2 linked regions of the Caenorhabditis elegans genome follow. The protein of the gene in region 2 interacts with the protein of the main gene of each other region in a biochemical or structural test. Each region holds a gene or a part of one and is shown on either strand. Other genes may lie near its edges.

Evidence for each region. Proteins that work in one complex are often made in the same cells at the same time.
Region 1: the proteins of mec-3 (region 2) and unc-86 form a complex in vitro, tested with the Caenorhabditis elegans proteins (one study listed by BioGRID).

The regions. Positions count from the first base shown.
Region 1 is NC_003281.10:8,212,237-8,218,070, forward strand, and holds unc-86 (Transcription factor unc-86), read right to left. Parts: upstream 4,101-5,834; 5' UTR 4,061-4,100; coding exon 4,007-4,060; intron 3,895-4,006; exon of another isoform or gene 3,751-3,894; intron 2,532-3,750; coding exon 2,395-2,531; intron 2,336-2,394; coding exon 1,984-2,335; intron 1,546-1,983; coding exon 1,271-1,545; intron 1,148-1,270; coding exon 1,037-1,147; intron 993-1,036; coding exon 848-992; 3' UTR 510-847; downstream 1-509. UniProt on the Caenorhabditis elegans protein: Transcription factor required for correct cell fate determination and differentiation in diverse neuronal cell lineages where it plays a role in specifying the fate of daughter cells during cell divisions. Involved in sensory neuron production and function.
Region 2 is NC_003282.8:10,458,292-10,463,828, reverse strand, and holds mec-3 (Mechanosensory protein 3), read left to right. Parts: upstream 1-1,961; 5' UTR 1,962-2,062; coding exon 2,063-2,140; intron 2,141-2,535; coding exon 2,536-2,586; intron 2,587-2,727; coding exon 2,728-2,843; intron 2,844-2,893; coding exon 2,894-2,966; intron 2,967-3,267; coding exon 3,268-3,519; intron 3,520-3,591; coding exon 3,592-3,705; intron 3,706-3,748; coding exon 3,749-3,962; intron 3,963-4,671; coding exon 4,672-4,739; 3' UTR 4,740-5,013; downstream 5,014-5,537. UniProt on the Caenorhabditis elegans protein: Transcription factor. Specifies differentiation of the set of six touch receptor neurons (TRNs).

The sequences.
Region 1 (5,834 bases), on a different chromosome or scaffold from region 2:
TAGTTAATACTAGACAATCTTTAACAGCTACAGTCTGTTCCCGGAGGCGCTTCTCCATCGCCTCTTTACTCGCCCTCTTCGTGCTTCGTCTTCTTTGTTGTCACAGTACTTACACGATATTAAACATTTTTATGTACATAGTTTTGTGTATTTTTCTCGTCTTTCATTCGCACTTCTCACTTTTCCGAAGCAATTTCAGTGGAAGAGGCCGCGAGGTGATGGGAGGTCTCCGAAAAGGGAGGCGGAGAATACATGAATCGCGCATCTGTAGAATGCCACTGATGACTTTCATTTAGGATTAAGCTATAAAAATTGCTAGTTTGAAAATGAAAATAATAAACCCAAAATTTTCTATTTTAAAACTAATAAATTTACTAATTTCATCGATAAAAATAATCTCATAGACGTAGACAATTGGCATCAGCTGAAAATTTGTATTTATAGAAAAGCAATTTTTCAAAGCGAATTGCTAAACCCTTATTTATGAGACCGAAAAACAAATATCTTAGTTTTTTAGAAATGAATTATATTTATTTTACGAGGCATTTCATTGATCTGGAATGATTCGATGTTTGAGAAAAAGTCATGAAAGAATGGAAAACAATACTTCAAAAATAGAGATCTTGTCGCTAAAAATGTTGAGGAACATCGAAAAGGGGAAGAGAGACATCAGAAAGCTCAAATAAAACAATTAAAAAAATAAGAAAAGCTCACTGAATATTTTCAGTGGTCGATCCTCATCATCAGAGAAGGAGAGATTATAAATTCAAAAAAAAAAAGAAATATACCCATTGTGATTAAAACTGAAACTCTAAAAATCGGGGAAAATGTGTTCACGAAAACGAAACTAATCAAAGAATCCAGGTAGCCCATTGTATGTTGTCTGACCCTGTTTCAGATTATTATTTGAATTATTTCCATTTAAAACTGGCATCACACGTGGACCCATTACTGCTGCTGCACTTCTTGCACGGAATTGGGAACGGAAATCTCTGAAATTTTATTTGATAAGTCTTGCTAAAAAATTAAATATTACCTTTTCTGTTTCTGCCGTTGATTGCAAAACCAGACGCGAACAACATTTTTCTTCAAATCCAATCGATCGGCAATTGAGGCAATTCGTTCTCCAGATGGTCTTGGTTGTTGTCTGGAAATATTTGTTTTGATTCGTTGATCTCTAAAGTATTGAGTGAAAAGCAAATTTGTTTAATTTTAACATAATTTTAGCATGTATGATTTTGAATTTATACTCTCCCCTACTCAAACTCACTTGAAAAACTGTTCTAGTTCTCTTTTCTCAGGAGCAGCAATACTAGTTCTCTTCCGTTTCTTATCAGTATTTGGCAAAATTCCATTGATATCTCCAATTGTATCTTTTTGTTTCATAGCCTCTTCAGCTTTCTCCAGCCAGGAATGTAGAATTGGTTTCAGTGCGACCATGTTGTTATGGGAAAGGGTGAGAGATTCGAAGCGGCAGATCGTGGACTGGGATAATGATCCGACACCAGGCATTTTCAGATGAGCAAGTGCTTTTCCAACGTCCGCCTGAAGTATTAAAATTAACTTTTGGACTATTTCTGGATTGCAATCACTTTTATTGGAATATATGTATAACATTCTGAAACTAAAGTTGAACTAACTTACTTTTGTTGTATTTAAAAACATAATTAAAAATGTACATACGTAGCCCTACTTGGCAATTAGTTGTTATTTCTCATCTAATTCTACCTACTTTTCAACAAACTAGCCATTTCTCCGGTGGCTTTTACTGAAATATGTAGATAAATTTAGCAGAATATAAGTTGGTGATAATTGTTTGTAAGGTGGCAGAAGCCTAAGTAGATTGAGAAGTGGCTACGTACTCCCGAACGTTTTTGTTTTTCAAAAAACCTAAAGTTTACTCATAATTAAGATAGATAGATAATTAAGATAATTAAGATAATATAAGAGTTAACACCCAGTTGTCAACCCTTTTATACTAACCTGTGTGACTCCTAATTTTATTCTTCTCTGCTTGAAATGCTCTGCAAACGTCTCCAATTGTCTCGGATCAGTGTCCATATCTGAAGTTGGCGGGGCAATTGGGTAACGAGCAAGATTATTAGAACTGGCAATGGATGTTGTTGAAAATGGATGAGTCATATTGTATTGAAATGGTGGAGGTGCTCCATATGATTGTTGCATTGCCATTACTTGTTGTAAGGGTGTCATTTGATCATCTGAGGATGTTGGCACAACTACAGATGCATCGAATGGTTCTGAAGAGCTTGGGAGTCCTTGGTAGATGTTTGTGGCGGCGGATGTGTCGTGGATTCCCGAAAAGTAGTTGCTATAGCTGAAAATAAATAGAATGAAGTCCTGAAAGATGGTCAGAGTGAAAAAAAAGAAAATTACCTGAACATATCATGTGGTCTCATAAGTGGATTTGTCAACTGCGGCACATTTTTAACATCAATATCAGCGAGGGCAACTTGTGCAGCTCTTGCATTGAGAATTGGGTCATCGAATGATCCAAATAAACTGTTGTTGAACTGAAATTCAAGAATCTTCATGAATTAGGAATAGGGGAGGTGTATCGAAGAGTGTTTTAAACATTTAACCTAAAGTGGGGGAGGAGACAATTTTAAACTCTTTTCGTACGTCAATACTTCATTCTATTTTTAATTTTCACCTGTTATCCTGAACTGAAACACAATGAATATAACACGTAACGACCTAAATGTGTAGTCAATAACTAGGGTGAAATCATTGAGAAATATTCAAATCTCGTTTCTATTTATCTTTAGTGTTTTAAATACGTTTAAAAAATCTTTTATGAATATACTGTTATTGATACTTAGTGTTTTAAATGAACGGCAAAAAATTTCTGATAGAACAATCCATGTGACTATTTCCGTGGTAGAAGCCCTCCTCTTTGAAAAATTAATGGAGGACGGAGTTAATTATTAAACAGGGGGTATTTAGAGTTCAGTCATTTAAAATGAGATTAGATAGTCAAAAAAAACTACTAGCAAACTCTAACAATTAAATAAAGTGCCTCAATATTAATTAGACTAATTAAAAAATATGATTACCATGAAATAGGGCTGCTAGAATTTTTATTTGGAAACTACTCAGAACCAGGTAAACCAGTAATGTTATGACCTACTACTATGCTAACAACTGATAATAAATTACATACAAAGTTGATATATTTTCTGGAGATTTTAAGAAAATCATCGCAAAGCTTAATTTAAAAGTGAAAATATCTTTGAAAATCAATATTCAAAATTGTAGAAATCCATTGAAACTTGACATAAAAATCAGCAAGCAGTGTTGTTCATCAGTAGTAGAAATGACATTTTCTGATTGTTTTAAAAAATCAGCGAAGTTCGAGTGTATCCCTCTTAATGTGGCTGTTTTAGAATATTTATTCATTATTGTACTGTACAAATTAAAATATGTACTTTTATAGAGGAAATAAACGTTTTCGTAAATCTAGGCCAATGAAAAAATGGTTCAGAATTTCCTTTCCAGCAAAACCATAATTTTTTTTTAAAATAATGTGATTGACGTAACGTTATCATATGATTGGATCATTCTAAAGAAAAAGCCTGGTGAAATGTAATTTGAATCAGTGAAACTGACAGTCTACATATGTCGACAATTTACAGTTAAACTAACAAAAAATGAAAAACAGAAAGACGGTTCAAAACAGTGTGAGGAGTAAGTAGATACGTGTGTGGCTCACTGTGAACGAGATGAAGGGAAAGAGAGAGTGACCTACCTAAAAATTCACTTAACTTAATATTCAATAAGGCTTGGCGGGGGACCCCTGCAAGTAGACACACATACAAAGAATGAATATTTGATAAAAACGAGCCGAGTCTCTAATCAACAATTCAATGAATAAATCCGTAACGTATGGAAAGTCAACTGGGAGACTTACTTATTCTAGAGCTCACACTAAACAGTCTAATGGGTTTAGCCATACTTATCAAATCGAACAATGAGATTTATGACTTACAGGTTGCATTTTTGAAGCGGTTGTCGTCGTCGGTACGGGTGCGGTGTTCTGCATGTCCGTGGAAAAGAGGGGGACCTTGAAGCTGGGAGGAGACAGATGTATACGGAAGGGTCGGGGGTCCCCTATGTCTTGGTCTCCACCCCTTTTAGGCAGCTCCCATTGGATGATTTTTCTGGTCCGTTGGAGGGTACTGTGGCTAGTGCACGCCCCATTTTCAGAACCTCTACTGATTTTGGAAGGGCGGAGAAGGGGGTTGAAGAGGGGGGAAGGAAAAAAGAGTTGAATTAAAAATGGAGCGGAGTGATGAAATATTAAAACCGACACAAGGAGAGGGACGGGAAAGAAGGAGCAAAAAGGCAAACGGAATCGATGTGCCTTCTCCATTCATTCAATTTCACTTTTTCATTCGTTTTCAACTTTTCGTTTTAGAAAAAAAAAAAATAATTTTAATGCATTTTCCACAGCTGGAATTCTGAATTCTGCTACTATATTTACCATCAAAACTGAAGTGGTCCATTTTGGAAATAACCAACTTCGATTACTTTTCAAGCTGGCAACTTAAAATTTAAAGTTTTCTTTTTCGTAAATTTTCAGTTTCGTAAATGTCAAACTACAGTGATTCTTTAAAAAATCGTACTGTTATTCTTAAGAAAACATTGAAAACTTAAAACATCATGTTGATAACTTGGATCCTCAACCTTGAAGTTCCTGTAAAATTTGAAATTGACTTTACAAAAATTCGCTGAATTTTCCCCTATTCTTGGCAGTTATTTTTCGAGCTGTTTTCAATACGGTTTGAAATCAGAAAGCTTGAGACTCCCCTGTTGTTAAAATCGTTTATGAGCTTCTATCTGGAGCGGCCAGCTCCACCGTGTCGCATAGCTTCATCTGAAACATAAGTAGGAAGACAAGTAGGCAAGCAGGCACGAGGCAGGCTACGATTGTTCGCTTTTTTTATCATCAAAAAACATCGTTCATGTAATGACGTTAGACGTTAGATTGTAATGACGTCACAAGTTTTACCTACAGTAATCCTTCCAATCGACATTTTATTCTATTCAGTTTTTTTTTTCCAGTAACCCACATCGAGGTTTTTGTTCTTTTTCCCTTTTATTCCATCTTTTTCTTTTTCTTTTTCTTTTTTCTTCCCATACTACCGTATCAAACAAACGAAGGAGGTTAAACGAAAAAGGAAAAGGATGGATGTGAAGAGACACATGAGCTTCGTCGTTGTCGCCCCGCCGATGCCCGAGCAGAAGAGTCATACATTAATAATAAGGTGTGGGAAGAAGAAGAAAGAAAAGAGACTACGATCGGAGACAGAAATTGTCGGATTTTTAAGAAAAATAATGAAAAATAGAAGGGATTGAGAATGTATTTTATTCATGATTGGTCAAAAAAGTTGAGAATGAGATGGGTCCCGTGTTTTCTTATTTCTTGTGTAATAATGGGGTAGTTTATTTTGTATTTATTCGGGGTAGCTTTTCTATTTAGAAAAAAATCAGATTTTAACTGCCGTAATGGGGTTATTCAAGTAGTGTCGGAAAATTAAAAAGTGTAGAAGAATTATTTCACAACTGTATTCAAGTATATAAAAACATGTATTTAAATACATGTTTTTATATACTTGAATAACCCCATAACAGTTAAAATCTTGATAACTGATTGCAAGGTGATTCTACTTCTAAAAATTATAGATACTGACTCGTTAAAGTTCAGAAATTTTGAATGAACTTGTTTTCAAATTCAAATTTTAAATTTAATCATAAGTTTTAGCAGATATGTTTTTTTTGCTCATATTGTTCATTCATTTCAATATTAAATCCAT
Region 2 (5,537 bases):
ATATTTTTGTCGTTTATTTTGTTGTTTGTAGATTTGGGTAGATCTTCAGTTTATATGATCTTCGATTGTGCTATTTTCGGATTTTTATGGATAAAAATTACATCTTAAAACTCTCGGAATAAACTATCAAAATGAGGAGCGATGTGTTTTTTTTTAATTTTGCCCTGCAGGTACCCGGAGTAGTTGGCGAAGATAGAAATGGTGTTATCTTATATAAATTCAGACTTTCTCTGTTAAAATTTTAACCACCAAAAAATATAGAATTTATAAAAAGTTTCATTTTGAAATTTTATCTTTTGGGGCCATTTCACTACCTTATCAGGAAGAAATGTGTTTCATCAGAAATTGAATTTTTCATCTTTTCAGAAAGTGTACCTAATACCGTATCATGCTCATATTCACGTGAATAAGGCTTCTGCCCAGTTCTGTGATTCAAGGAAAACTACGAAAAATGATCTCATTTTCTTTGATTTATCACCGAGCTGGTGTGTCATCACACACAGTCTGTTTCTTGATAAAAACGCGCAGAAGTTAGAGCATTCATTGTGATTTTGGGTCTTTAATTTCTGTAAAACAAATAAAGTGACAAGTTTATCATCTGCCTATTTTATCAGTTATATGCATGGTTAGTTGCAAATAAGGGAGTAGAAATTGACTAAAACTCAAAATGAGCACTGAAACGAGGGGTTTTGTTAGTTGCGAAATAACAATTAATACAATCTGGTTGATTACTTTGTAAAAGGATAATAAAATATGCAAAACTTGGCGTATTCTGAGATTTCATTCCTAAAGACATTTATCAAAACAAATGTTTTCTGCAATTTTCTAAATTCTTGGAATTCTGCCCAGCAGCCTCTAATATCGCGTTTTACTTAGAAAATGACTTTTGGTTTCATTTTCTCATTTTCTGGCTTCTATTTTTCACAAATGCAAATATTTACATTTAAATTAGTACTTTCATTTCTACAAAGATCAAATTTAACATTATTGACAGGTTTACTGTTATCTTGTGACAGTTCCGTACTGTCAATCAAAACGAAAATTAAAACTCATGAAATATCAATGAACATAAATTGAAAAAAAAACCCAGTTGAAAGGAGAAAATAAGCGAAACACACCAACAACTGAGTAGTTACGCTCACAATTTGGAAATGATTTTGAAAACTCTCTGGACTGCATTTCAATTTTTAACAAACAATGAATACATACTGATAGTTTTTGTACTTCTCGGCATTCAGAGGCAACTTCCTGCCAACAACCTGGCAACTTATTTAGTGCCACTAAAATAAGTTGCCAAATTGTTGGCAGGAAGTTGCCTCCAAATGCCGAGTTGGAGCAAATGATTCGATATGATTTTAAGGATACCTACGCATGCCTCCTGCCAAGACACGCACCCACCTACTGAAATGTCGCGGAATTTTACCTCCCAAACTATAGATTGGGTGAAACTTCACTGTAAAAGCTTTTTTTAAGTAGTAGGCTGGCAGTAATGAAGACGTCCATACCATAATTTTTAATGTTGTATAGAAAATCTGAATTCTCAAGTATAACATTTTCCAATAATTAGCATAGTCAGAAACTCTCCACCGCCGTTCCGTTCCTTTTTTTTGTAACTATGGAGTAATAGAACAAGATTATTCAAATTCAAATTTTTATAAAACTTTACAACGTCCTTTCCATATATTCTTCACACAACATTTGAAAAAACAACAAATTCATTCGAAATGCATTGCCCATAATGAATCGACCGAAAAACACAAGTGACCGTCAGGAGATCGATAGAGAGAGCCCGTTCCAACTAGACAACTTTTTAGTGCTTATCCTTACACACACTTTCTAGCTTCATAAGAAATGCATCTATTATCGTCACCATTTGGAGACACCAGTTTTAGCGCACATTAATAATCGATCAGGGTCTAGAGACTCCTGTTGGATTGGCATGCCACGCCTACATGACATCTGGCTCTTGACGGGTGATTTGTTACAGTGAGTAGCCACAATTTCGCGCATTTTCTTCTAAATTTCACTGTTATTTGTTCTTCTGATTTATTTCATTTGAACTATGGAAATGTTAGAGTCAAAGCCTCTCAGTGCGATTAGTATGGTTATTGATTCAATTGGAGTTGATCATGAAAATCAGGTGAGTAATTAAACTTGAGCAGTTGTGAATTTCATCAGAAAACAATTTTTCTTTAAAAAAATTTAAAAGTAACAATTTGAGAGTCAGAAAAATGAAATTAACATCAATCGAAAACTTACATTGCATTTGCTTGAAAGTTTTTACAAAGACTTCTGCGTGTCAAGAAATTCCAATTTGAAATTTATACAAAATCCGCACGAGGGAAAATTTCTGTTCGACTTTCAGAGAGTCAAGTAAAATTACCGCATCTTCTAAAAATTCTGAAAGTTAGATTCTGAAAGTCAATCGTGTAAACTTTTGGTTGGTATTCATTCTATTTTCCAATCTCATTTTATCGATACGATCTCTAGTGAAACTTGTGTCTAACATTCTATAATTTTTTTAAATATTTCTAGAACAAATGTAATTGCTGCAATGAGCAAATTTATGATCGTTATATTTATCGAGTAAGTTTGCTGATGTTTGTGGATTTTTCAAACTTTCTTTGCTTTGCTTCTGTAAACAGTCTGCTCAAAATCTTGAATATTTTTCTTTTGCTTCTATAGTTCGAACAACATTTCAAGATTTCAGCCATCATTTATTTTCAGATGGACAATCGATCGTATCACGAAAATTGTGTCAAATGTACAATATGTGAGTCTCCTCTGGCCGAAAAGTGTTTTTGGAAAAATGGGAGAATTTATTGTAGTCAACATTATTATAAGTAAGCTTTAGCAAAATATTCTTGGAATTAATAAAAATACATTATTTCAGGGATCACAGTATTCATCGGTGTGCGGGTTGCAAGAAAGGAGTGTCACCGACAGATATGGTATATAAACTGAAGGTATTAAATTGGGTCAGAATGTTTAAGAAAACATTAAACTTTGAGCGAACCTATACAAAAAGTTGTCAACTTTTTATCAATTAAATTTTTGACTACTTTTGTATAAACAGTAGGAATGCCCGAAAGATTTCAAAAAGCCTACAATTTCAAATTAAAAAAAAAACCAAAGCTTTGACTAATAGTTTTGAAAGATGTAATCATTTTTTACGCTTTGCTCTTTGCTCTGACGGGATCCTGCTAGACGCACAAGCATAGAGCTTGGGGCTTTGATCGGTAAAGTTTGACTCAAAGAACTTTACAGGCTGGGCTCGTGTTCCATGTGGAATGTCATTGTTGCTCTTTGTGTGGACGGCATTTATCACCGGGGGAACAAATTCTTGTTGACGATACAATGATGACCGTATCCTGTATGTCACATTATCCTCCTCAAATGGATGACAACGCACCTGGAGCAATAGGATCTGCAGTTGATATACCATCTTGTTCGACAGAAAATCCAATTGCCCCATATCCAATTGATGAATCTTTTTCATCAGCTTTCCAAGTTAAAAAGGTATACTTTATTTTTCGTTGAAAGTTTAAAGGGATTAAATACCGAATAATGTACTGCATATTTAATTTTTAGGAGGTTGACGCTTATGGATACAACTTTGAGCATTATAGCTTTTCCGATTTCTGTGATGATGATTCACGAATGCTAAAAAGACGCGGACCTAGAACGACAATCAAACAAAATCAGGTATACAATGTAAGAAAGCGGAAATTTTCATAATGATTTTCAGTTGGACGTGCTGAATGAAATGTTCTCGAATACACCAAAGCCGTCGAAACATGCTCGAGCCAAATTGGCATTGGAGACCGGTTTAAGCATGAGAGTAATTCAGGTTTGGTTCCAAAACCGGAGAAGTAAGGAACGGAGGCTCAAACATTTGTGCAATTACTTGAGACATTATGAGCAACGTGGGCTCATTCCTCCGCCAATTCATTTTAGAAATGGTTAGTTTAAAGATTCAATCTGGAAAACGCAGTAATAGCTCTGAAATTTCAAAAAATAGATAGTGACTAGTAAACATTTTAACAAGTTGTTTTGTTGCATAAACATTAAGTTTGACACTAAAACTTTTCAAATCGGACTTTGTTCATAACTCAGATCCGAAATCTCTAAGCAAATAATTTATATAGATGAAAAAAAACTACCTTCTTTCGTGGCGATAAGTGCCTGTTTCGTGCCTACACATATGCCTACCTACTGTCTTAAAGCATGCGTAAATCTATTCCGTTCACTGAAATTCCGGCTATAACTGAAAACTCCATTAAAACTCCATAAAACAGGCAATAGATAGGCGCTTAGGCAGGGAAACATGTCTCACGTTTCTCTAATTTTCTGTATTTAAAGTTTCTCAATCATTCATTTTTGATTGTTCAAATCTATTTTCATAGAATTTTTTCTTCGAATTTCATGATGTTTAATTATTGAGTAGTTTCCCTATAATTATATATAACGCGTTTCCAATTATTGTCTGTTGTCTTGTTCGAAAATCTAAGCAACACTGATGTGGCAGTACACCAGAATACGCACAGAAAGCAAAAATCCAGAAAAGTTTGAGTTGCCACGTCATAAATCACAAACCAAATGGCTTGGCTCTTTCGAACTTTTTGCTGCTCTTGCATTCTTGTTTTTTTTTATTCTCTTTTTTCATTTCAGAAGAAATGGACACAACTGACTTCAACGCGTTTTGCGGAAATTTCGAAGAGGAAGATGATGAAGATTGATGAAGATTTTTTTAATTTTTAAAACAATATATTCCATTTATATATATATATTTCATAATGTATTTTCCTTCCCAAATCTTGAATTTCATTACATGTTTGCCAAAACTTGTGTTCTGAACTTGTTCAAATATTCACGTTTGCGCGAATAAGTAATTGAATGTCAGTCGATAATCTGATCTCAATGATTCCATTTTTAATTGTCCATGAATCATAAAATCACGAAATCTTAAAAATTCTCACACTTTGTCTCGATTCAAAAATAATCCTAAATGCTACGTTTTTGTGTTGGGTTTGTTGGTTTAAAAACGAGAAAATTTTCAATTATTCCGTCACCTTGATTGAAATAAGATTTGTTTTCCTCGTAAAAGAAAACGGTTCAACTAGCTGGTTTTCAAAAGATTTTCGAACCCTTGTAAAAGACTTATGTAACTCTATAATTAATGTTTCCGTCAAAGAATTGTGTAAATTGTATAAAAATAGTTTTAAAAATTAATGGAGGAAACTTCTTGAAAATTCAGCATTAAAATATAGTAGGTGTGTTTTTTTGTCAACGCCTTCGTGATACCTATTCCAATAACTAAATAGGTTTTTGCTACGGGTTGTAGTTCCTCGGAAAAAGAAACAATTTAATTTACTGAGCTAAGTGAACTATTTCCTCGCAACTTCCACACTTTTTCTTTCCTTCCCCAGAACGAGAAAATATTAGTTTTACCTGTAATTACTAGCTTATTTTCCAACATCTAAAACCAGCCCCCTTGAAGTACAATTAGCCAATGACGCACACGTTTGAGACTTTCA